Linked DNA regions of Mus musculus: all the other regions are reported to be linked to region 1. The links are microRNA targets in miRTarBase. Many come from high-throughput screens and were not tested one by one. Region 1 holds a microRNA gene; each other region holds the end of a gene's coding sequence.

Region 1 (7,197 bases):
GTACTGGTTTATACATCTTTATTTATAATGATTTCAGGCCTGGTCCACCCCTCTCCAAGTGAGGACTTCCTGGAAGTGGTGTCTGTCTTTGGGAAGAGGCTGAAGTTTCCCATTCCGTGCGGTCTATCTGGTGTTCTTCTGTGGCTATACCTAGATCAGAAGGGGGCAGTTTTAACAGCCCGCACCTATGGAAGCAACCCATCCCGTCAAAAAAAGGTGAGTGTTTTTCCTTGCCATGATTCAGTGCAAACCTGTGGCCATTCCTGCCTGCTCTTTTCTGGGGAAGAGGTCCCAAAAAGGAAAGATGGTTCCATCATTCAGTGGCATGTGGAGTTTGACCCCTGTATGGCATCAACTTCCTTCTAGTTCTGTCCCATTCCACTATCGGGCAGAATTAGTGGGGCAGGGTCCGGTCCTGGGAGTGACACTGATACCCGTTACTGGGAAGGCAGAAAGGATTGGCTTTAATCACTTCTATAAATTCCTGGGGTCCTCCTGTCCTCTGTGTGCAGTGTACAGCCAGGTGGGCATCATAGAGAAAGTGCTAAGGATAAGATTGTAGTCCTAACCAGGGTTTACCTACAGAAAGCAAAAATCTGAGTTCTGTATTTCCTGAGAGAGTGAAAATCTCAATCTGTTGTAACATCTGCCAGTAATATCAGAAAAAGGTCCCCCCCACCCCCCAAGTATCTGTCCCAGCCCAAGCTCCTTGGATGGAGAGCTGACCAGTGGGCACACATCTGGCAGGTGGTGTTTGCCATGTAATTGGCTGATTCCGAATCTCCCATCATCCCTCCCCAGGCTAAGTCCCAGGAGACGAGGCTGACCCCGTGAATGCTAGAGCGGAACCTGCCCCATGCTATTGTTTGGTACTTAAAGCGAGGTTGCCCTTTGTATATTCGGTTTATTGACATGGAATATACAAGGGCAAGCTCTCTGTGAGTATCAAACCTTATCTTGGATCCCGTCCACACTCAGCGAGGGATGTGGTATGTGTGTGCATGACCGTGTGTATCCATCTTGTGTGTGACAAACTGCTTCCTGGGTTTCCTTTATGCACCAACGGCTTCATGGGCGCAAGATGACTTCAGGAAAGACCTCGGGTACATCCCCTCTCCTTGTCCATATGGGTTGGTCCCAAAGCATGCTCTCTGTGTGTAGCCTGGGTCCCTGCTTTCCCAGGCTGATGGTCAGGTCTGTGCTGGTGTGGGCCGTTGTTTTTTGATGTGCTGCCGTGCCGTGGTACCCAAGTGTGCATGTTCTTGCTTGGTGTGTGTGACCCAGTCTGCTAACGCTCAGCGTCTAATTCGTCCCCAGGACCCTACCTGGAAGACGTAGCACGTCTACCTGAGGCGGTGGCTTTGCTTTCCAGGCCGAGCTTTGGTACTTGGAGAGTGGTTATCCCTGTCCTCTTCGCTTCACTCATGCCGAATCGTACAGGGTCATCCACTTTTTCAGTATCAAGTGCGCAGACTCTGCAGCCTGGCTTCCTGCGCCTGGATCCTGCCACTGCCACTTCCCATCACACATCCTTGGACAAGGGTGTCGCCGTGTTATGCTCCTTGTCTCGTGTGTCACTCGCGAGTCCTCTTGGGGTCCAATGCATATGGCTCTCGGGGGCTGGGAGAGATCAGGCTCTTGTAGGGACTAGGCTCATTATTGACCATGTGCCAGCCCAAACTTTTGTCTGCTGGGAGCTGACTGCTGGCAGCTATGATGGTGATATACAAACCTCTCCTTGGATTTGGGAGCCCATGTTGAGACAGACATTCTCTGTCAGTCATGTGAGTGGGTGTTGGAGCTTAGAGTTTGTGCTGGACTTACAAGGTGGTGCTTGTGACTCGGCAGTGACATCATTTCTGTAGCAGCTTCTAGAACAGAAGACCCCATGCCGGGGGTCAGCAGGGCCACCCACAATGCTTGCTCCACTTAAGATGGACACTGCCTGGCTTCTTGACCCCAGCCACCATTACCCTTAGAAGAGGCTAACGTGAGGTTGTCATGCTGAGTCCTGGGGAGTCATTTCTATAGCCTCTCACCTCCCTGGTGCTTAGAATGGCCATCAGTAGTACTGCATGCATGGTGCATGTATGTATTGGGTGCAGCCACGTGTGAGGAGTGGTGATCACTCCCAAGAGGCCTATGGATGCTGGTATTCCTGCTGTGCTACTGTTTCATACTTGAGGAGAAATTATCCTTGGTGTGTTGGCTCTTTTGGATGAATCATACAAGGATAATTTCTTTTTGAGTATCAAATACTGCCCTGGTGGACTTCCGGGATGACGAGACGGTTGTTTAAAGAGGTGCCTGGTGCATGATGCATGGGTTAGCCTTACCTGGGCACAAGGCAAGAGAGCACAGAACTGATGTGTAAGAGCTACACTCTGATCCCAAGTCAGGATCTTGCTTGAAGAGTCCAGGGGTTCCTACGTGGCTTGGTCATGGTGAGATAGCACAGTTTTCATGACTTGGCAAATCGTTCTTTTTTTTTTTGGATGGGCAGCCAATCTCACAGATAGTCACTGGGGTCAGGCCCCGGCCCCTTGCTCAAGAGTGTGACTGGTTCCACAAGCATGTGCTTGAATGACAGAGGCCGGCGAGCTGTCTGGTCTGGATCGTGAGAGGAGGTCCTGCGGTTTTTCTCGGTGCGGTGGTTCTCTGACATTTGCAGGGTGGCTATCAATAGTGTGCTCGCCATATTTATGGAGATTAATTGGGACGACCATTGTTTGCCCCATATCTGGATTTGCTTCCGAAGGTCCTAGAGCACAGTGGTGACTTCAGCTAATGGACATTGGTACCTGCTGCAGGAGAGGGAGAATTTATTGAGGCAGAGTAACCTCAGAAGGCACCCCCCCCCCCATGTACTCTCACAGTGACAGCTTTGAGGTGGCAACAGCTTTGGTGGCTTGCTTCTTTGTGCTTGGTCTGGAGAACACTGAGAATAACTCACCTGTCTGTTGTTGCTGTTAAGTCTTAGTTCAGAGGAACTCCTTGAGAAGGTACTGGGTCAAGCATCTCTTTAGGTAGACAGAACTTGGCCAGGGTCTTCTAGGTCCAGCACCCACTCTCCTCAGCATCCATTCTGAGCATAGACTTCCTGTGGTTAATACAGGTGTTAATAAGGATACTTCCTGCCGCCGCCGCTGCCTTAAGTCACTCTCTATCTGTTCCTATGGCTTCCTTTGGGCTGACTTTTTCTTAGACATACCTGGTCAATAGCATACCATTTCAGCTCATTCCATAATCTGGTGTGTGTGTGTGTGTGTGTGTGTGTGTGTGTGTGTGTGTGTGTGTGCCTGCATGCATGCTTGTACAAATTGTTGGTTAGTGTAGGGCCTCTCAAACTGCTCAACGCTGCTAAGATATTCGTCACCTAGGGATCTTGTTAAAAAGCAGAGTCTGATTGAGGGGCCAAGATTCTGCATTTTTAGCAAGCTCTCAAGTGATGCTAATGCTGCCGGTCCGTGGACAACACATGTAGCCACTGGGGGCTGGAGGTGATGTTGCATGTTCCTTGTAGTGTGTGTGCTCCATCTCCTCCATCCACCCCGCATTATCCATCATGAGTGAGCATTGAGCCAATATGCTACCTTTTGATGATCAAACTGTGGTCAGTTGTGAAAGGCCACCTGCTGTACAAACACCATTATTGATTATTGATTATTCTTTCAAATCAAAGCATGCCTCTATGGGCTTCCCAGATATAAGAGCTACTTCAAGGAGGGGCTGCCTATGTCAGCCAACAGCAGGACTTGTCAGCACCAGGTTATTGGTGACTGAGACCATCTGACTCTGTAACTCTCCATTTCCAGTCAATTGTAAGGAGCACAGTTCTGGAACCACAGCTTCTGGGGAAGGAGGAGTCCTATCTGTCGTATCTACCAGCAACCCTCGACGTTATCGAGAGAGGTAATGCCCATGGTGCCATTGCCCTTCCATGATATTCGGCCAGCTGCTGGCTTCTTGCCATCCAGCTTACCTCTCAGGGAGGACCAGATAGACTTCCATTTTGTTTCTAAATTGACCTGCCTTAGGAAGCTCTTGTGGGAATGAGTTTTTCCGTCAGACCAGATTTTAGCCCTAGGACCAATGTGTAGCAGTGAGTGGTTGCTGTCAGCTCATGTGCTTTCTTACAGACTATGGGAATTCACCTCTCAGAGTCTAGGAATTCAATTTGTCATTGGAAGAATCTTCTGGAAGGAGAGAGGACAGTAGACAAGAGGCCCCGGTTTTCCTGTCAGAGATCTCTGAGAATATTTGAGGTCATTCATGTTCTGTTTGCTTATTGTGAACGAGACACAGTTAGCTTCCTTTTGACTATCAAACTCTGCTTTTTTGAAGGGCCCCCTGCACAAGCGATATGAGACTGCCTGCCTTGTGTGAGCCTTGGATGAGCCCTGCAGCTCCTTCGAGATGCTCCTTGGATATTCCTGATGGAGAAGACCAACCCCGAGGAAGCTTGGTCCTGCTTGCGATGAGCTTGCTGTGCTTTCACGGACACCCTTCGTTTCTTCTACCAGTTTTCAGTGCCAGGGTGCGCTTGAAAGGAGAGCTGATGCCAGGGCTATAGCCTTCCCCAGCCAGAGCATGTGGGCCAAACCCTTTCTGGATGGCTAGGCAGTGGGGAGAAGCCATGAGATGGTTGAGAAGTAGTCACAACTCCCCTGGGGACAGACTGGTTTTCAGGGTTACATCCATTCAAAAACACCCCCCGGAATTCAGGCTTGTGAAAGACAAGCTAACTTGACCCTGTTCCTTTGTTCTCACTGAGGTCCTGTCCCTGGCATCCCCTTCCTCCTGTGGACACCACTGAGGTGCAGACACTACCCCGATGGGGCTTCCCGTCCTGCTGTTCGGCTCTGGAAGAGACTTGATTCCTTTTCTTTTTGTGCTGGTGGAGATCACACACAAAAGGTAAGATGAACCCAGCTGTTTGGGATTCTGGAAGAAGGAGGTTGGCCTGTATCCCTGCTGTAAGGGAAGATGCTGTTCTTGGGCGTCTCCCTTTCAGGGATGATGCCGGTGGCGGACAGGAAGCCCAGCTCCTGCCGCCTGGATGACTCTTCCCTTGGTGGGGACCAATCCTGGATGGAATCAGTTCAAGATGGATGCCAGCTTCATACAAGAGCCCTATCAGGATTGGCCTGAGGTCTGTAAGAGTATATTTGGCCCAGGTAAATCCAGGTGCTAGGGATATCTGATACCCTATAGCACATGCACGCCATCTTTAGGGCATTTCTGAGGTCAGGATGCTTCAGCTCTCACCCCTGCTTCCTCTCTTTGCCAGAGAGAAGTGCTATCAGCTACTAAAAGTGAATACTAAATGGCCTATCTATGTCAGAGGGAAGCCCAAAGCCCAGGAAGAAATGATGGACCAGAAACAACAGGACATGCTCGTAAGGTCACAGGCTTCTTTGTTCCAGACTCTCAGCACCCAGGCTACCCTAGTGAGGTCCCCAGAATTGAATGCACGTTAATCCCCCTGCCTCAGACTTTGGGAATAGGCTATTCTGAGCTTAGAGTTCTTCCAAAAGAACAATTTTCTCCTGAAGTATCTATTCAGCACCCCTCCCCCACCCACCCAACCCCTGCCCAAATCTATGGTTAGCTTTCTTGATGCTGAGTCCTATAAGGGAATATTGATCTTATTGAGGAAGGGCTATTGACCTCAGCCAATTCAGGGACAGTTGTTCACTTGGCTAGAGGGAAAAACAAGGTGTGTAGCCAATTCTCCTAACATTTGCTCCTCAATCCATTCTTAGGAAGACTTGCTGCATGGTGGATGGCCCAGAGACGGCGGGGCTCACAGATGGTCACGTTTAGTGCTTGCAGATTGGTAATGCCTGTGCCCTTGGCTTTGTTTATTCTGGTCAACCAGTTGTCAGTGCTGCCATCGAGGGCTTTCTGGACAGCATGGCACCTTCCGTAAGGAGACCTTGGCTTCAGTAGCTAGTCCAGGTATGTACAATGACAGTCACACACTCGCATTATGATGTATAGCGGTGCTGTGCTTCCTGACAAGAACCTAACCACTGATGAAAGGGTTGTGATATTTGGGAGGGTGCTGGTATCATTTCCAGACCATCATGGGAGGGAGAGAATCATGCAGCAGATAATGTGTGTCTCCTGCTTTGGGTGAGCCCTACTCCTTGATGATTTGAATAAGTCTGTGGAGTCAGGCGAGTGTAAGGGTGTTCTGGTGTTACCCTGGTAGAAACACGAGTATCAGCTGGCACGTAATTGGTCACTCTTCCTGCTTTTGCTCCAGAGATGATTCCTTGACCGACACATCTTGCTGACAAATGTCGGGCTGTCTTGCTTCATAGTGGGAAGTTCACTGGGAACTACCTGGGTTTTGTTTCTGATGCCTAGCACTTGGCTTGCTCCTCTGCAGGAGAGTTGTTATCCTAACGGATGCTGGGAGAAGGCTGAGGTCTTCCCATGACCCTCTTTGGGGATTTTTGATTTTATTTAAGTTAAATTTTTTTTCAAAAGTTAAATTCTTATTAATATCCCAACTTCATGCTCCACAAATTGGTCAAGAACAGTGACAAGAGAATCCATGCGGGCTGTTGTGCAGGTTTTAGAGAGCTGATAAAGATATCACGAGGATGAGCAATCTTCCCAACTGGAAGAGTGGAGACTGGGGGTGCTCTTAAAGTAGGGCTAGCCGGTGTACCCAGGGACTGGATGAGCCAACATCAGATGTGAACATGTAGGAAGAGGAGGGGCCAAAGTAGTACAACCGTAATGTTGGTGGAACCACAATCCCTGAATGATTCGGTGGGCTGCAGGGAGCATCCTTGCTGCTATCATGGCTATCTCAGCTAAGGCAATGACCCTGGATGCTCTGAAAGGCTGCTAAGATGGAAGAAAGGGTAACAGAAAATGAGGAAGTCATAGGACCAATGTTGGGGATCTTGATGATACATCAACAAATGAATGTTACACTGGGAAACAAAATAGAGGTGGGGTACTACCGCCTGCTAGCCAGAACTGTAGGAAATAAGATGAATACTTTCCATGTCCTCAGGAGAGAGCCAGGTTTCCATCACGGTGAAAGGTGGGGCCATGGAAAAGAAGTGAAGCCCCAAGGGACTTTGCTAGTGAAATATGTTTTATGAAACCATGGAGGCAGGTGGGACACGGAAGGGTGAGAGATGGGTTCTTACTAGGGCTTTGGGAAGCTATCCT
Region 2 (7,197 bases), not on the chromosome of region 1:
AGTTCCCTTCTCGAGTCTTCTTTGGAGTACATGACAAAGGGGACGAAGCAAGAGAAGAGAGAGGTCACGCAAGAGACGCCTCCGCTGAGGGTTGGGGCGAGCTCATTACTTGCAGGCGGCCCTGCAGAGAAGCCAGAGGGCGGTGTGTACTGTGGTGTCTTATCGATGCTGGAGTGTCCTCAAGCCGGGTGCAAGAAGAAGCTGAGGGATAAAACCGCCCTGAGGAAGCACATGCTTGTCCACGGGCCCCGGCGGCACGTGTGTGCAGAGTGTGGCAAAGCCTTCACGGAGAGCTCGAAACTAAAGCGACATTTTCTGGTGCACACCGGAGAGAAGCCGTATCAGTGCACGTTCGAAGGCTGTGGGAAGCGCTTCTCCCTGGATTTCAACTTGCGCACCCATATCCGCATCCACACCGGGGAGAGGCGCTTTGTGTGTCCTTTTGATGGCTGCGAGAAGAGCTTTATTCAGTCAAATAACCAGAAGATTCACATCCTAACCCACGCAAAGGCCGGGAAGAAATGCTGAAGGTGGAGACAGATTGTCCTCAGGCTGGGTAGTCTTAATGACAGAGGCACTGGGGATACACGCATTATGTACAGATTGTTATTTGTAGGGATAGATTCTATGGCTAAAATAATTTTGCAACTCTTCATTATACAGTTTTAAGGCCTCTTTTGGTATTCCATGGTATAGTTCCAACAGGAAAGTCAATGGTGAAAGCAGTTTCAAAAGCATAACCCTTACTATATGTGCTATTGAAGGGGATGGGGACTTTTGCATACGTCGGAAAATCAGTTATTTTTAACTATGCAGTTCCTAATTGCCTAGCTTTTACCTTTAGAAATATGCTTCATGGTAAATTTGATAATCCTAAAGAATGGCCAACTTTGGCAGTAGTCAACAAATGAATACATATTTCTAAATTTTATGTTTTGATTTTTGTTTTTCTCATTGTACCAAACTATATTAATCATAGTTAAATGTGAATAGTTACAAAAAAGTTGATCCATCTGAAGATTTTAGATGTTTCAAAATAAAAGGAAATAAAACACTAGAAATGAGTTCAATTTCTGGGGAAAAAAAAGTGCATTAAGAAGACAATAGCCAGTCATAGTGAGTGGTTCATAGCACTCAGGAGGCCGAGGCAGGCAGATCTTTGAAATTGAAGCCAGCCTGGTCAGCCCTGCCTCTGGGCTCAGCTAAAGCTCTATAGAGGTACCCTGTCTCAAAAAAAGAGAGACAGACACAGAGCACTTCAGAAAGGGTGGGGTGTGGTGGTATACATCTTTGATCCCAGCATCCAGAAAGTATAGGCAGACAGATCTCAGTGAGTCTGAGACCAACCTCGTTCATACACAACAGCAAATGTCATGTCAGCTCAGCCAGAACTAACAATGAGACTTTCCCAAAGGAGAGTGACTAGCATTCAATATTGATACACCAGTCCATTAGGGAGAGGTTGTCGAAGCTATTTTGCTATCATTTCCAGGCGTTCTCTCAAACTTTTGAAGTCCACCAGTCCACAATGACAAAAAATCTACCTCAAACACCAGAAATGTATGCTCTTGTAGTTATGGAGGCTAGGAAGCCACCAGTCTAAAAGCAAAGGATTGCTCTCCTGAGTGGTGGACATTCATGTTATGAGTTTACTACAATCAAATAGTACTTCCCAGAACGGGCCAAGATTTTGTTTCCCACTGTGCTGTGTCATGGAGCATCATTGGCCCCTCCTGTTTCTTTGTGCTGAGTAACGCTCCGCCCTGAAGACCTCCTCTTACACATCTATGAAAAGACCTCTCTTCAGATAAGATCACATGATCTGGTTCCGAAGTCCTGGGAGTTCAAGGTTTTTTAATGTCTGAATATTGAGGAGGATACAAACCCATAAATTCTGTGCAGTCCTCTTGGCCCAGTCATTTTTATTTCTAGAGTTCTTTAGAAGTGCTTAGAGTCATGTTTGAAAGTATTTCCTCAAGGATATTAAGGAAGTTCTATTTGATTGTGGTAAATTCATAACATAAATGTCCACTCAGTAAAAACATTTACCCTAAATCATGCTAGGTCTCCTCAATGAAATATGCAAATGCTTTAAAGGACCCTACAAAGGGAAATGGGGAAAAGGGTCATGTCGAGAGGGGACCCATAATTAAGGAGCTTTGTTGTTTATAATAGATAGGATAAACTTGAGTGCATGCTAGGAAAGGAATTCGAAGCAGTTAAATGCGGACAAAGGAAAAGGTAGTGAGGAACTCTATTATAGGATTAACTTATTTGTATTTGTATAGTTGTGAAGTGAAATGAGAAAATGAGCATCCATTGAACCTGCACCCCCACCTGCCAGTCAATGTAAGTGACTTGGTTCTGGTAAAAATGCCACAGTTCAGCTTTAGTTAGATGCTACTTTTTTGAAGATTCACCATATCCCTGGAAGTTAAAGCACATATTTTAGGAAAAGAAAAAGGGATGAATGACGACTATCAATTAATCTTGATTTCTTTATAAATGCCAAAGTTTAAAAGCAACCTGTCTTTGAAAAATCAGAGCCTATAGTTTGACTTCAATGTGAAGTTTTTGCTAATATGGACTATTACAGAATGTTAACTAGTATATATTTGGTAGGACAATTCTATCATTTTTATAGGAATGTGGATCCTGAAACTCTAGATTAATATCAGTAAAGTAGTGCACAAAAGCCATTCATAAATTTCAATTTTCTTCTAAATCTAACACCTGCATACAGAACTTAAGGCAAGTTTAATCAAGGTGATGGATCATGTGCCTAGCTGGTGTTTGCTTCTGCCAGCCTTGTGTCTGACTCCATCCTTTATGGATTCTAGTTTCAGAGTAAAGATTAAAGACCAACCAGAAGATGCAGAGATTAGGGAGCAGGCTCTTCAGACTGGAGCCTCAGAGCACTCAGAAGGGTAAGGTTGGCTCTCCTTGTAAAGGTGGGTCTGCTCTGAGCTCCTTTCACGAGAAAAAGTCTCTAGAAGTTACAAGATGTTCCTATCTGGATTTTGAGGCCTAGAAAATGGGATTTTATGTGTCTAGCGTGGCCCTTCTGTCTCTTCTCCCCGAAGATGTAGGTGGAATAGCAAAGGTAGAGGACATGGAAAAGAGGCTAGGTATTGAGGGGTCACACTTGGAATACTTTCTAGTGTTTTAGTTTTTATTTTATGTGCATTGGTTTTGTCTGCATGTGAGGGTATTGGATCCCCTGGAACTGGTGTTTAGAGCTGCCATGTGGGTACCAGGGTCCTCTGGAGGAGTAGCCACTGAGCTATGTCTTCATTTTTTTTTTTTAAGTATATGACATTTTGCCTTCATGTATGTCTGAGCACCATGTGAGTCCAATGCCTCTAGATGGCAGAATGGAACATTGGTTCCCTGGGAACTGGACATAGAAAAGATTATGTGGGTGCTGGCAATTGAACCCAGGTCTTCTAGAAGAGCAGGCAATGCTGGGAACCACAGGGTCAAGCCCCCAGCCCTTTTGTTAATGTTTTACAAATGAATGTACACATACTTTCCACATTTGTGTTTTACATAAGAAACATCCAAGCAAAATGAAAGGAGTTGATCCATGTAGAATTTGACATGAATCCAGATGCTACCGTTTAGTCAGCTCCACAGCTAGCAGACATGCACACTTGCACAGCCGAGATTTTCCTACACAACTGAGAGCTTATTTTGTCAAGTCCTGTTCCTCTGCCTCCCTACTTTTGATTAAAAAAGTATACTATTTCAGCCTGGTATGGTAGCATGCGTTTACACCCAGCACTGCAGAAGCAGGGGCATGTGGATCCCTGAAAGGCCAGCCTGGTCTACCAGGACAGTCAGGGTTATACAGAGAAACCCTGTCTCAAACCACCTCACCACCACAAAAATAAGTATTTGGTTTTATTCTTTGTTTAAACATATATTTTGCTGTTGATAGTCAGTGGGTTTTTTTTGTTTGTTTGTTTGTTTTGTTTCTACTATAGTGGAGTCCAAGATTTTCCACATTACAAAAGGCTGTATGAACTTCAAGCACTAATGCCAGTATGTGTTGCTTCTACACCTTGGGTATTCTGAACAGCCTTAAAGGCAAGGGTGTCAGGATGTAAGAGTGGGATGGCTAGGTTACATAGAAACCCTGCTTAGACTTTGTTTGTTTCATTTTGTTTTGTTTTGAGGACCCCCCTAAGCTGTCTTCCACAACAGTTCTCCACACACTGTTGTGATTACAGAAGTAAGACGACTTCCTTGTGTTTCTCTTATCCATTTTTATGGAGGATTATTTATTTGCTAATGAGCTGGGAATTCTTGTCCTTGTATATTTTAATACCTATCAGAAGCATGCAAGTATTTTCTGCAAGTTTGCCGAGTACATTTTAATTTTGTTGATAGTTTTTTTTAGCTGTGTACAAGTTCTTAAGTTTCATGAAATTCCACTAATTTTGCTTTGTTTTTGTGTGTTGTGGTCGTGGTGGTAGTTTTTGGTTTGGCTTGGTTGGGTTTTGTTTTTTTTGAGACAGGGTTTCAATGTATAACCCTGGCTCTCTTGGAACTCACTCTATAAAGCAGACTGGCCTTAAACTCAGAGCCACCACGTGCTACCTCCAAAGTGCCTCTGTGACGCAGTTGTTGCTGTTTTTAACCTACGAGCAAGGGATGTCTTTTCATTTCACATACTTTTCAGTTCCAGTAATAGTTATAATTTTCTGTGTATGGTTCTTTCCTTGCTTAAATTTCTTCCAAAGTATTTTCATGTAACCATAAGAAAAATATCAGTTTTTTCTTAGATTAGTGCCAGGGTAGAGAAATGTAACTGAACAAGCTAAAAATCAGTGTTAATGTAGATCCTTTCTCTAACACTTAACAGATAAACTGGGTACCGCTCTGCAGAGGACTCGGGTCTTTGTCCAACACCCACACCAGGTAGCTTCCAGCTAACTGCCTATAACTCATTTCCAGGTGACCCAACACTCCTTGACCCCAGTGAGCAAGCACCTGTGCAAGTGTGGTGGTACACATGATGTATATACATAACCATTTTTTAAAAGAATGACTTCACATAGCATGTGAAACATCTACACTGTTCCACTCAGCAGAGACTTTTGACATTGGATCCTGGCTGCCCTGGATCTCACTGTGAACCACCATGCCCAGCTTGTCCGGCTCCTATATGATTCTCCTACCGGGTGTATGTATGTGCAGACATCCGTGTGCACTCGTGTAGTAATTACCCCATGCAATGGCTCTGACTGAATAAACTGCATGATTACATCCTGCATTGGACACAGAACAGTGCAAGTTACATTAAAAACCCATTATATTTGCAACTCCAAGCAAGAACTATAATTAAAAGGCAATTGGATGAAATTAGCTTTAAGAGTACAAGAGCTTAAGCAAGCTTTGGTAAATGAATGTTAATGGTTAGCATGTGGGTTTTATTAGGGTTTTTGTTCCTTTTCTCTGTGACCCAAGAGTTGAATTTCTTAGATGTCAGTGGGCCAGATATGAAGAACACCTGTACCAAGCTGTGCTTTACCATATGGCTAAAGTCATATCCATAAAACAAGCTAACATAACTTTTGTGACTTTAGTAAATCAAAGGTATTAGGTAGCCTTCAATGATGCCCCGGGCATTAATAAACTATTCTTAGCACTCCTAAGATCATAGTTGCATGCCATAAAAAGATAGTACATGCTCCCTCCAACTCAAAATGATGGTCATAAAATACACATACAAATCAAAGAAGCAGTAAAACTGGGAAGAATTTTGATAATCATCACCATTAAACGCCAAAATGCTGCACACTATGTGTAATTACATCCTATTTTCTAAGAAAATTGGTGCCTGTCCAAACTGCTGATCACTAAGCATGGGAACATTTGTGTGTGTAGAAATGCTTTGGGTCTTGTCAAAACTGCATTCTAGAACTTTCCATCCTTGATTTGGTAAAGACGGCAGCAAAAATCTTTGCCATTCCTCCTATTAAAGCCTAAGGTTTCAGGTCACAGCCCATGCCTGCTCTCCCTAATTCTTCTGAAAGGTGAGGTAGAAGGACCAAAAATTCATGGCTAAGCTGGGCAACTCAGACCTTTTCTCAAAATTTTATAAAGGAGTTAGAGATACTTGTCAGTACCAAAGCCCTTGTTTGTGGGTGCCACACAAGGCCAAACTGGAAGCTGCAGCCGTGGTCCTGGGGATGGAGGGAGCAGAGACCACTGGAAGGACTTGGATAGGAAGGATGGCAAAAAAGATCAAGACTCCAGATCTGCACCTGAGCCAAAGAAACCTGAGGAGATTCCGGCCTCCGAGTTCAGCTCTGCAAGCAAGCACGCTGCTCTGTCTCTGGATGGCGAGGATGAGGAGGAGGGTGACGACTGCACTGAGTAGGCTCTGGGCTCAAAAAAGAGTAAGGTCTTGGTCTAAGGATGGCTCAGTAGTAGAGAGATTGCTTAACATCCTCATGGCTCTGGGTACTACCCTTAGCACTTTATACCCCTAAATTAAATATAGGTAGATAACTTTTCACATAAGAGTTTAGCTAAAGGGATCTGCAACCCTATAAGTGGGACGACAATATGAACTACCCAGTAGCCCCCAGAGCTCGTGTCTCTAGCTGCATATGTGGCAGAAGATGGCCTAGTCGGCCATCAGTGGAAAGAGGCCCATTGGTTGTGCAAACTTTATCTGCCTCAGTACAGGGGAACGCCAGGGCCAAGAAGTGGGAGTGGGTGGGAGGGTGTGGGGGACTTTTGGGATAGCATTGGAAATGTAAATGAAATTTAAAAAAAAAGAGTTTAGCCTTTGGATATATATGTCAACCAGCTTAATTTAATCAGCCCACATCATATTCATAAACTATTACATCACTTTGTACCATATGCTTATACAATGAAAAATTATCAATCTATGACTATTAGTATTTGTAAAGCTATAAAGTCTGCCTACCCTGCTACCCTTAGTGTATAAGAGCCTGAGTAGCTATTCTCACTTGAAACACTTAAGAATAACATCCTGGATGAAGTCTGAGACCTTGCCTGGATAAGACGTGTGTAGGAGAAGATGACAGAAGCTAGACAGCCAGGGGTACCAAACATGAGGTAAGGAGCCATTTTGGGATGGTCACCTATCACCAGCACAGGAGGTATCCTGGTCTGTCTTGAGAGACAAATTGAATGGTCCTTTGTGAAATTTCAAAC
Region 3 (7,197 bases), not on the chromosome of region 1:
TCCCAGTTTCCTGGGGCAGCTCCAGAAACTGTCACTTCTCCCAACTTAACCACTTCCGTTTCCCATCGAGGAACAAGCCTGGAAGTACCTTCTTTAAGATGTTAAGATAATTACTTTAGATCTCTGTACCAGGGAAGAGCAGGAGGCTCCTGAAGCTGAGGCAAGAACAGAGAGGTATAGTGGTGCCAACTAAAAGCCAAGGCACTGTGGTAGTCCTTGCAAACTGGATATAAGAATATGCTGGGTGGTGGTGGTGCATGCCTTTAATCGCAGCACTTGGGAGGCAGAGGCTGGCAGATCTCTCTGAGTTCAAGGCCAGCCTGGTCTACAGAGCAAGTTCCAGGACAGCCAGAACTACACAGATAAACCAAAAAGAAAAGAGAATGCAGCATTTAGGGATCAACAGCTACACAGTGTGTGCTGGGAGGGATCAAGGTACAGCTGTACCTCCAGAAGAGCAATTCCCTCAGGTCTGCTCACCCTCCCAGGTTTATCAGACAGGGGCATTGGGACATGGTTAACACATACTAGTTGAAAGGACATTCCAGAGGCTTCTACTGGGCTGTTTCTACCAAGTTGGCCCATACTCCATAGGCCACTGAGGGTATTTAGAAGTTATCAAGACTGTCAATGTACTGGACAGTTCTGTTAACTTGACACAAGCTAGAGTTATCTGAAAGGAAGGAATCTTAGTTGAGAAAATACCTCCAATACGACCCTCCCTTTAAAAAATAAAAAATGGCATTTTTGGGCTGGAGAGATGGTCCAGTGGTTAAGACTGCTCTTCCAGAGGTCCTGAGTTCAATTCCCAGTAACTCACAACCATCTGTAATGAGATCTGATGCCCTCTTCTGGTGTGTCTGAAGACAGTAACGGTGTACTCACATACATAAAATAAATCCTTTAAAAAAAAAAAAAGGCATTTTCTTAGTGATTGATAGGAGAGGGCCCAGCCCACTGTGGGTGGGGCCTTCTCTGGGCTAATGGTCCTGAATTCTATATGAAAGCAGGCTGAGCCAAGCCATGAACTCAAGCCAGTAAACAGCACCTCTCTATGGTCTCTGCATCAGCTCCTGCCTCCAGGATCCTGCCCTATTTGAGTTTCTGTCCTAACGTTCTTTGGTGATGAACAGTAATGTGGCACTGTGAGTGTCTCCAAGGTCATGGTGTTTTATCACAGCATTAGTAACCCTTAGACAATCAGTTACAGGCTCAGGAAAGACACCTACGTATTTGGTCCTTTTAAACACCCAGTACCCGATCACCAAAGCCAGCAGTATCTTGGACCCTTCCCCTAAAACCACAGCCTCTGACAAAGTGTTTCCCATGATGGATGCAAAGCTCGGTCTCATGCTGACCATGTTAACTCAGCACTGGCCAAGTAAATATCCAAGATGCCTCAGTAATGGATATGCCCAGATTCGCATGTGGAAGCCCTAGCCCCTAACCTGACTGGGGGCAGAGTCTACATGTCTGTAATTAAGGGTAAGCAGGGGCTTATGGCTGGGACCTTCAGGATCAGTTTTAAAGAAATCCTGGGGACTGGGGTGTAACTCAGTTGGTAGAGCACTTGCCTTGCATGCTCAGAGTCCTGTATCTCACTACACTGGCCAGCCTGGCTTGCAACTAGCTATGTAGACTAGGCTACCTACAGCTCAGGGAACAACCTGTCTGACTTCCCAGGTGTTGGGATTTCAGGCCAGAATTCCAAGATAGTCAAGGCTACAAAATGAGATAAATACCAGAGAATTCCCTTTCTACCCAGCGCCACACATACTGTCACATGGGCACAGTGAGAAGGCAGCAGCCTACATAGCCCTTAGCAGATATCAACCTTGCTTACACCTTGATTTCAAACCTTCAGAACTGTGGGAAATAAATTCTGCTAAGCGCCAGTCTGGGGCCTTTTTGTGTATGTGTGTGGAAACTGCCCAACCAGACTAGGATGTTCTCAGAGGGATGCTAACGTTCTCAAGAATTCCCCAGGTCTAGGTCCCCACACCAGGGGACCCAGTACTTTCCTTCACATTGCTGAGGATGAATCTAGGGCCTTGCACATGCCAGGCAAGTGTTCTACCACTGAGACACATCCCAGCCCCTCAATACTACTTTATAAAGCAGCCCCTGGTACTCCCATTCATGCACACATCTTCCCTGGGAGTCTGGAAATACAGCACTGGCCGCTGACCTCCCTAAATACCCAACCAAAACCAAACTCAGGGTCCTAGGTCTATAGGGTCCCCCTTGGCATCCTTGACTTTGAGTAACTGAACATGACATATGCTCACCTTTGACATAGCACAGGGATCAACATACCTGTTTTCAAAATGATCTACTTTCAAATGTTTCTTCCCAAAAATACTTTATTAAACAATATATCCATAATCCATGATCCAAAAATACAGATATACATCTTTACATTATTTAATAAAAAGATTTACCATAGTATCTCTCCTTTACAAAGGGGACATAGGTAATAATTCCTTGAAAATAAAATGTGACATTCATGTTAAAGCTGGATCATCCTGATGGATGGAGTGTGGCGAAGAGCAACGACCACAGCACATTCTGAGGGAAAAGACACTTCTTAGACCTCCCCTGCTTTAAAGCTCCTTTGGGCATAGGCAGTGAAGACCAATCAATCTCTGTTCATAGAAAACAGAGTTTCAAAGCCTGAAACAAAGGTTCCTCGCTGTTTGATTTCAAACCCTTAAGACTTACCTAACCTCCCAGCCCTCTAACAGGGCCAACCCTGGCACCGTGATCACATGGAGAAGTTGCTCTCTGGATGAAGCATCCCCGCCAAGGCCTTCTGGGGTCAAATGAGGGATAGAAGGCAAGATGCTGTATACACAGGAGCAAGCAGGTGCCCACTTCCCCAGCCATCCACAAAACCTCACACTACAGGGCTCTTCACTGTAGAGTGGAAGACACGGCTGGCAGCCTGCCTCCTACTGATCCCACCTGCTGGATAGGCGAATGGTCAGTGCTGCTTGGACCCATTACACCACTAACATGTTCACAGATCTAGGGGCTCAATTTTTTACTAATTCATCATGCTTCTTCTATAATAAACTATTGATAATGTGCACAGAAAACAAGAAAGATGACCCCTCCTCTCAGCAAAACACTCCTGTACTTACAAGGGGAATTACACAGGGAAGACCCAGCCTTGGCTCAGGCAAAGCAGCTGCCAGTCTGTTGATGAAGCAAGGACAGCTTAAGAGCCAGGTCTCGACCAGCAGGCATGAGAGTGTCTGATCCAGCGATGGAGACACTCAGGCTTCTGGAGCAGGGCTGAGGGGTGTGCTCGTGGCTTCTCCACATCTGAGGCGGAGCTGGTGCCGGAACGCGTCTCCTGAAGTTCCCTCTTTGCTTACACACAGAAGCAGTGGGAACAAGCCTTCCATCAGAATACCAGCCACAACCCACAGATTTTCCTTTCTGTTTTCCCCCCATTTTGTTGCCAGGGATCTAACCTAGACCATCACTTTTGGAAGGCAGCTTTGTTCACCTACATACAGCCAATACCACATTACACTTCACACTTGTTAGGCATGGTTTTCCACCATGGAGGTAAATCCCCAAACTCACGAATTCTGTTTTTTTTTTTTTGCCAAGCTATATGCATCTTATTTTCATGACATTATAACTGTCAAAAAGGAGATAATCATAGGAACTCACAAAATAAATAAAAATCAGAAGCCAGTATGTAGGGTGGCCCCAGGTAGAAGACCTCAGGGAAAGAGCCAGCATGACCTCAGGAAGCCAGAAGATGGAACTCATCCAGCCTCTAACACCGCCACCAGTAAACGCCACTTCTTCCTGATCATCAAAGGACTCAGCTGCCTCAGGCTGAATCTCACATAGTAACCCAGCTTCTAAGGCATTACCAAGCAAGATCTGATTAAAAACGTCCTGTAGTTACAGAAACTGTAAAAAGCAGTCCAGACACAGTGGCGGCCATCTGTGGTCCCAGCATTGCCTAGCTCCAGCAAGATGACTGCAAGTTCAAAGCTAGTCTTTTACATAATAAAGCCCTGCCTCCCAATAAATAAATAAATAATCTAAAATTTAAGATTAAAAGGAAGCATGAGGCCTGACCCCAAGCACTGAAGAAAGAGAACAAATGGTAGAAGAATAAAGAGAAGGCTGGGGTGTGACTCAATCTGCAGAAGGCTTACCTAACACTCAAGAGTTCTGGGTTGGAGCTGGCGGTGGTGGGGCATGCTTCTCTAGTCCTAGCACTTGGAAGGCAGAGGCAGGAGAATCTCTGAGTTGGAGTTCAGCCTAGTCATATACACAGTGGGTTCCAGGACAGCCAGAGCTACACAGAGAAATCTTGTCTTGAAAAACCAAAAAAAAAAAAAAAAAAGTTCTGGGTTTGGTCCCTACCATTGCAAAACCAGACAGACCTATTGGTGCACACCTATAACCTCAGCATTTGGGAGGTGAAGAAAGACCAAAAGATGAACGTTATTCTCAGCTACATTGTGAGTTCAAAGCCTGCCTAGGATACATGAGATCTGGTCTTTGGGGGAGGGGGGTCCCTCACAATTTTTAAAGGCTAAGTTATGTCTATCTAATCTGACCCTGAGAGGGGTCCCCAAGAAGAATGCCAGCCCCATTCCCAAAGCTCTTCCTAGCCTAGAGACAATCTTGTGCACTTGCCTATCAACGACAGCTAACCTGCCTGGTACCTACAGCCCAGGAAAGGTCAACGCAGACCAACATATTCAGTAGCACAAACACAAGCCACTCCTGTCTTCCTCTTTCACTAGGATAGGCTGTGCAAGACATTGTCCAGTAAGAACATGACCATGGTGACACAGGTATGGGGCAGAGACAACACCCTTCTGCTTTGTTTGTGACCATCAGAAGAAAACAATGTGCCTGTCATTATATAAAGAGCCGGCCTCTTCTTACATCAGAAATTGCATAACCCAGCTCTGTCTTGCAGGTCTTTTTCTGAGGTGAGGCCAGGTACCGGTTGGACTCTTTTAATTCTTCTCAGAGAGCCTGAGTTACTGAAGAACATGCCAGAGGAGTTCTAAGTCAACCGTGGCTTTCAGGAGCCTGTCGCTCTTAAGGAACACCACAGATGCATCTCAACAGGCCCCGGGTAGACATCCCCCCAATATTTCAAGACAGTTCAACACTGGTTTTGTGGACAGTGGTCAAACAAAGAGTACACTCCAGTTTCCTACCTTCATTCCAGAACTGCTATTGGGCACAGAGTCACAAATCATGTCACATAATCATCGTCCCCTTGAACATAAGCTGCTGGCCTAGTGGGATGCAGCACAGCAGAGTTCTTACGATCAGCTCACAGTAGACAGACTCACTTCATAGACACACAGACCCATGACCTTCATGCTAGTACAATAATTTCATCTTCACAGTAAAAAAATATAGGCGGGAATCCCCAGAGAGCTGGAAGCTCAGCCTGGCTGTCTGGCTGTCCGCTGCTGGGCAGTGCTGGCTGTGGTAACTGACAGTCCAAGGCTAACGGAAGCTCAATCTCCAGGGAGGGCCGTAAGTTCACAGGAAAAGGTGGTGCACAAAACGACAGAGGGTACTTCCACCTGGGAAGAGCCCCCGGTCCCTTCCAGACACGTCAGAGGGATCTTGGCCAAGAGTGCCTGGTCTCCAGTAAGGGTCAGAGCACAGCATGGGGCAGTGCCTGACAATACTTTACTCACAGAGCACCAGCTGTGCTTCCATGCTGCCACAGACAGTCCTGGAAACCGTGGACACGCAAGGCTGACCCTCTAGTCACAAAGCAGTGGCAGTGTAACAGGTTAAAATGCGTTCACCCTGCACCATGCACTTTGCCTACAGCTCAAACTGACACACATCACTGATGGTGTGGCCATTCCCAGTGCTGGGAGGTTGTGGGATGGGGGAGCCTGCTCCTAAAGTCACTGTGGCAAGTCCCTGTGAGATTGTTCTGTGCAAATGGTGCAGCGGCTTCTTGTTTTAGGAAATATCCAAAATTACAACTGGCCACTGAATTATTAAATATCAGTCAAAATAAGGTAGTTTTAAAATGAAAGATCATATTGCAACATGAGTGAGGAAATATATTAGCTTGCTCTTCAGTCTGGCACAACAGCCTCTTCTTTACTTCTTCTTCCTCTTTTCCTGAACACATCGTGGACAAAACCTGTGACGAGAAAAGCGTTGGGATCATCGTTTCTCCTGGAGCACAGGACCCCAGGTAGACTTCCTGCATATCTCAGGGTGTCTGGACTCTAGGAACCAAGTGCCATAGAGCAGCTACACTGAGTAAGAGGTGCTCTTTTCTCTGAGGAAAGCTGACATTTCAACTACTGGTTCGAGCATATCTGAAGCTGACTAATAATACCTATCAGCGCAGCCTTGGGATCAAGTTGATAAGGCTGGCCATAATATGAGGTGTCCACTATAGAGCTGACACCAATAGCTGGCTGGCAGATTGGTCATACTCAAGACCACATGTACAGACACGAGCCTGTAAGCCAGTGAACAACAGCTCCTGGCACAGCTGGACTGGGCCCTATATGGGTCACACAGGTCACACAGTGCTATGGTTCAAGCACACAGAACAAACACACATCAGAGACTCAGTGTTCACCAACACTCAAGAATGTAATAGCCACTCATGACCCAAAGGGACATTCTAATAAGTTCCCCATGTGAGAGACAACTCTAACACACGTAACAGCTATCATCACATCCCTCTGTACTAAGACGCTCTGAGCACCTAGGCCAGTACTACAGTGACTGTGTCTCTCTGAGGAAGCCCATTCTGGTAAGCTACACAAAGACTGCACTGGAACCCCACTCCCCAATTCCTCTGTCTGGCTTTGGGCCCAGCACATGAGGCGGCTGTGAGGCCTCCAGACTCTCAGAGGGAGCACCCCAACAGCTTTGCCAGTGCGGTTGGACTCCCTCACCTGGAAATCCCACAAACAACTCACTGCATCTACCTTGAACTCAAAGTCAGACCCCACGCCTCACAGGGTCGCTCTTTCCCTAGCCCAGCTACACACCTGCTCACATGCCTACCACCACTGCAGCCCAGCTACACGCCTGCTCACATGCCTACCACCACCGCAGCCCAGCTACACGCCTGCTCACATGCCTACCACCACCGCAGCCCAGTCAATTCCCACAAGGCACAGTGCCATATGGGTCTTGTAACATGAGGTTAAC

What was found. Region 1 holds the annotated microRNA mmu-miR-539-5p (GGAGAAAUUAUCCUUGGUGUGU, at 2,185-2,206, shown strand). A microRNA usually pairs through its seed, bases 2 to 8, with sites in the 3' UTR of a target mRNA and lowers its output. Matches are read on the target gene's strand: a 7mer-m8 pairs with bases 2 to 8, a 7mer-A1 pairs with bases 2 to 7 and ends in A, and an 8mer does both.
Region 2: the mRNA of Zfp42 is a reported target of mmu-miR-539-5p. Seed matches in the 3' UTR shown: 7mer-A1 at 948-954.
Region 3: miRTarBase lists Ing5 as a target of mmu-miR-539-5p. Seed matches in the 3' UTR shown: 7mer-m8 at 4,335-4,341.

Annotation. Positions count from the first base shown.
Region 1 is chr12:109,725,952-109,733,148 of GRCm38, forward strand. Mir539 (microRNA 539) reads left to right here and starts at 2,178; the gene lies at 2,178-2,251. It overlaps Mir381 (microRNA 381), which reads left to right and starts at 871; the gene lies at 871-945. It overlaps Mir487b (microRNA 487b), which reads left to right and starts at 1,382; the gene lies at 1,382-1,463. It overlaps Mir544 (microRNA 544), which reads left to right and starts at 3,374; the gene lies at 3,374-3,451.
Region 2 is chr8:43,288,927-43,296,123 of GRCm38, reverse strand. It overlaps Zfp42 (zinc finger protein 42), which reads left to right. Exons shown (of 4, transcript NM_009556.3): 4 at 1-1,057. The coding sequence ends at 528. Among named protein-coding and RNA genes, the nearest start is that of Zfp42, 14 kb to the left of the region's middle.
Region 3 is chr1:93,817,250-93,824,446 of GRCm38, reverse strand. Ing5 (inhibitor of growth family, member 5) reads right to left here. Exons shown (of 8, transcript NM_025454.2): 8 at 2,346-6,166. The coding sequence ends at 6,124. It also overlaps a transcript of D2hgdh not described here. Among named protein-coding and RNA genes, the nearest start is that of D2hgdh, 4.4 kb to the left of the region's middle.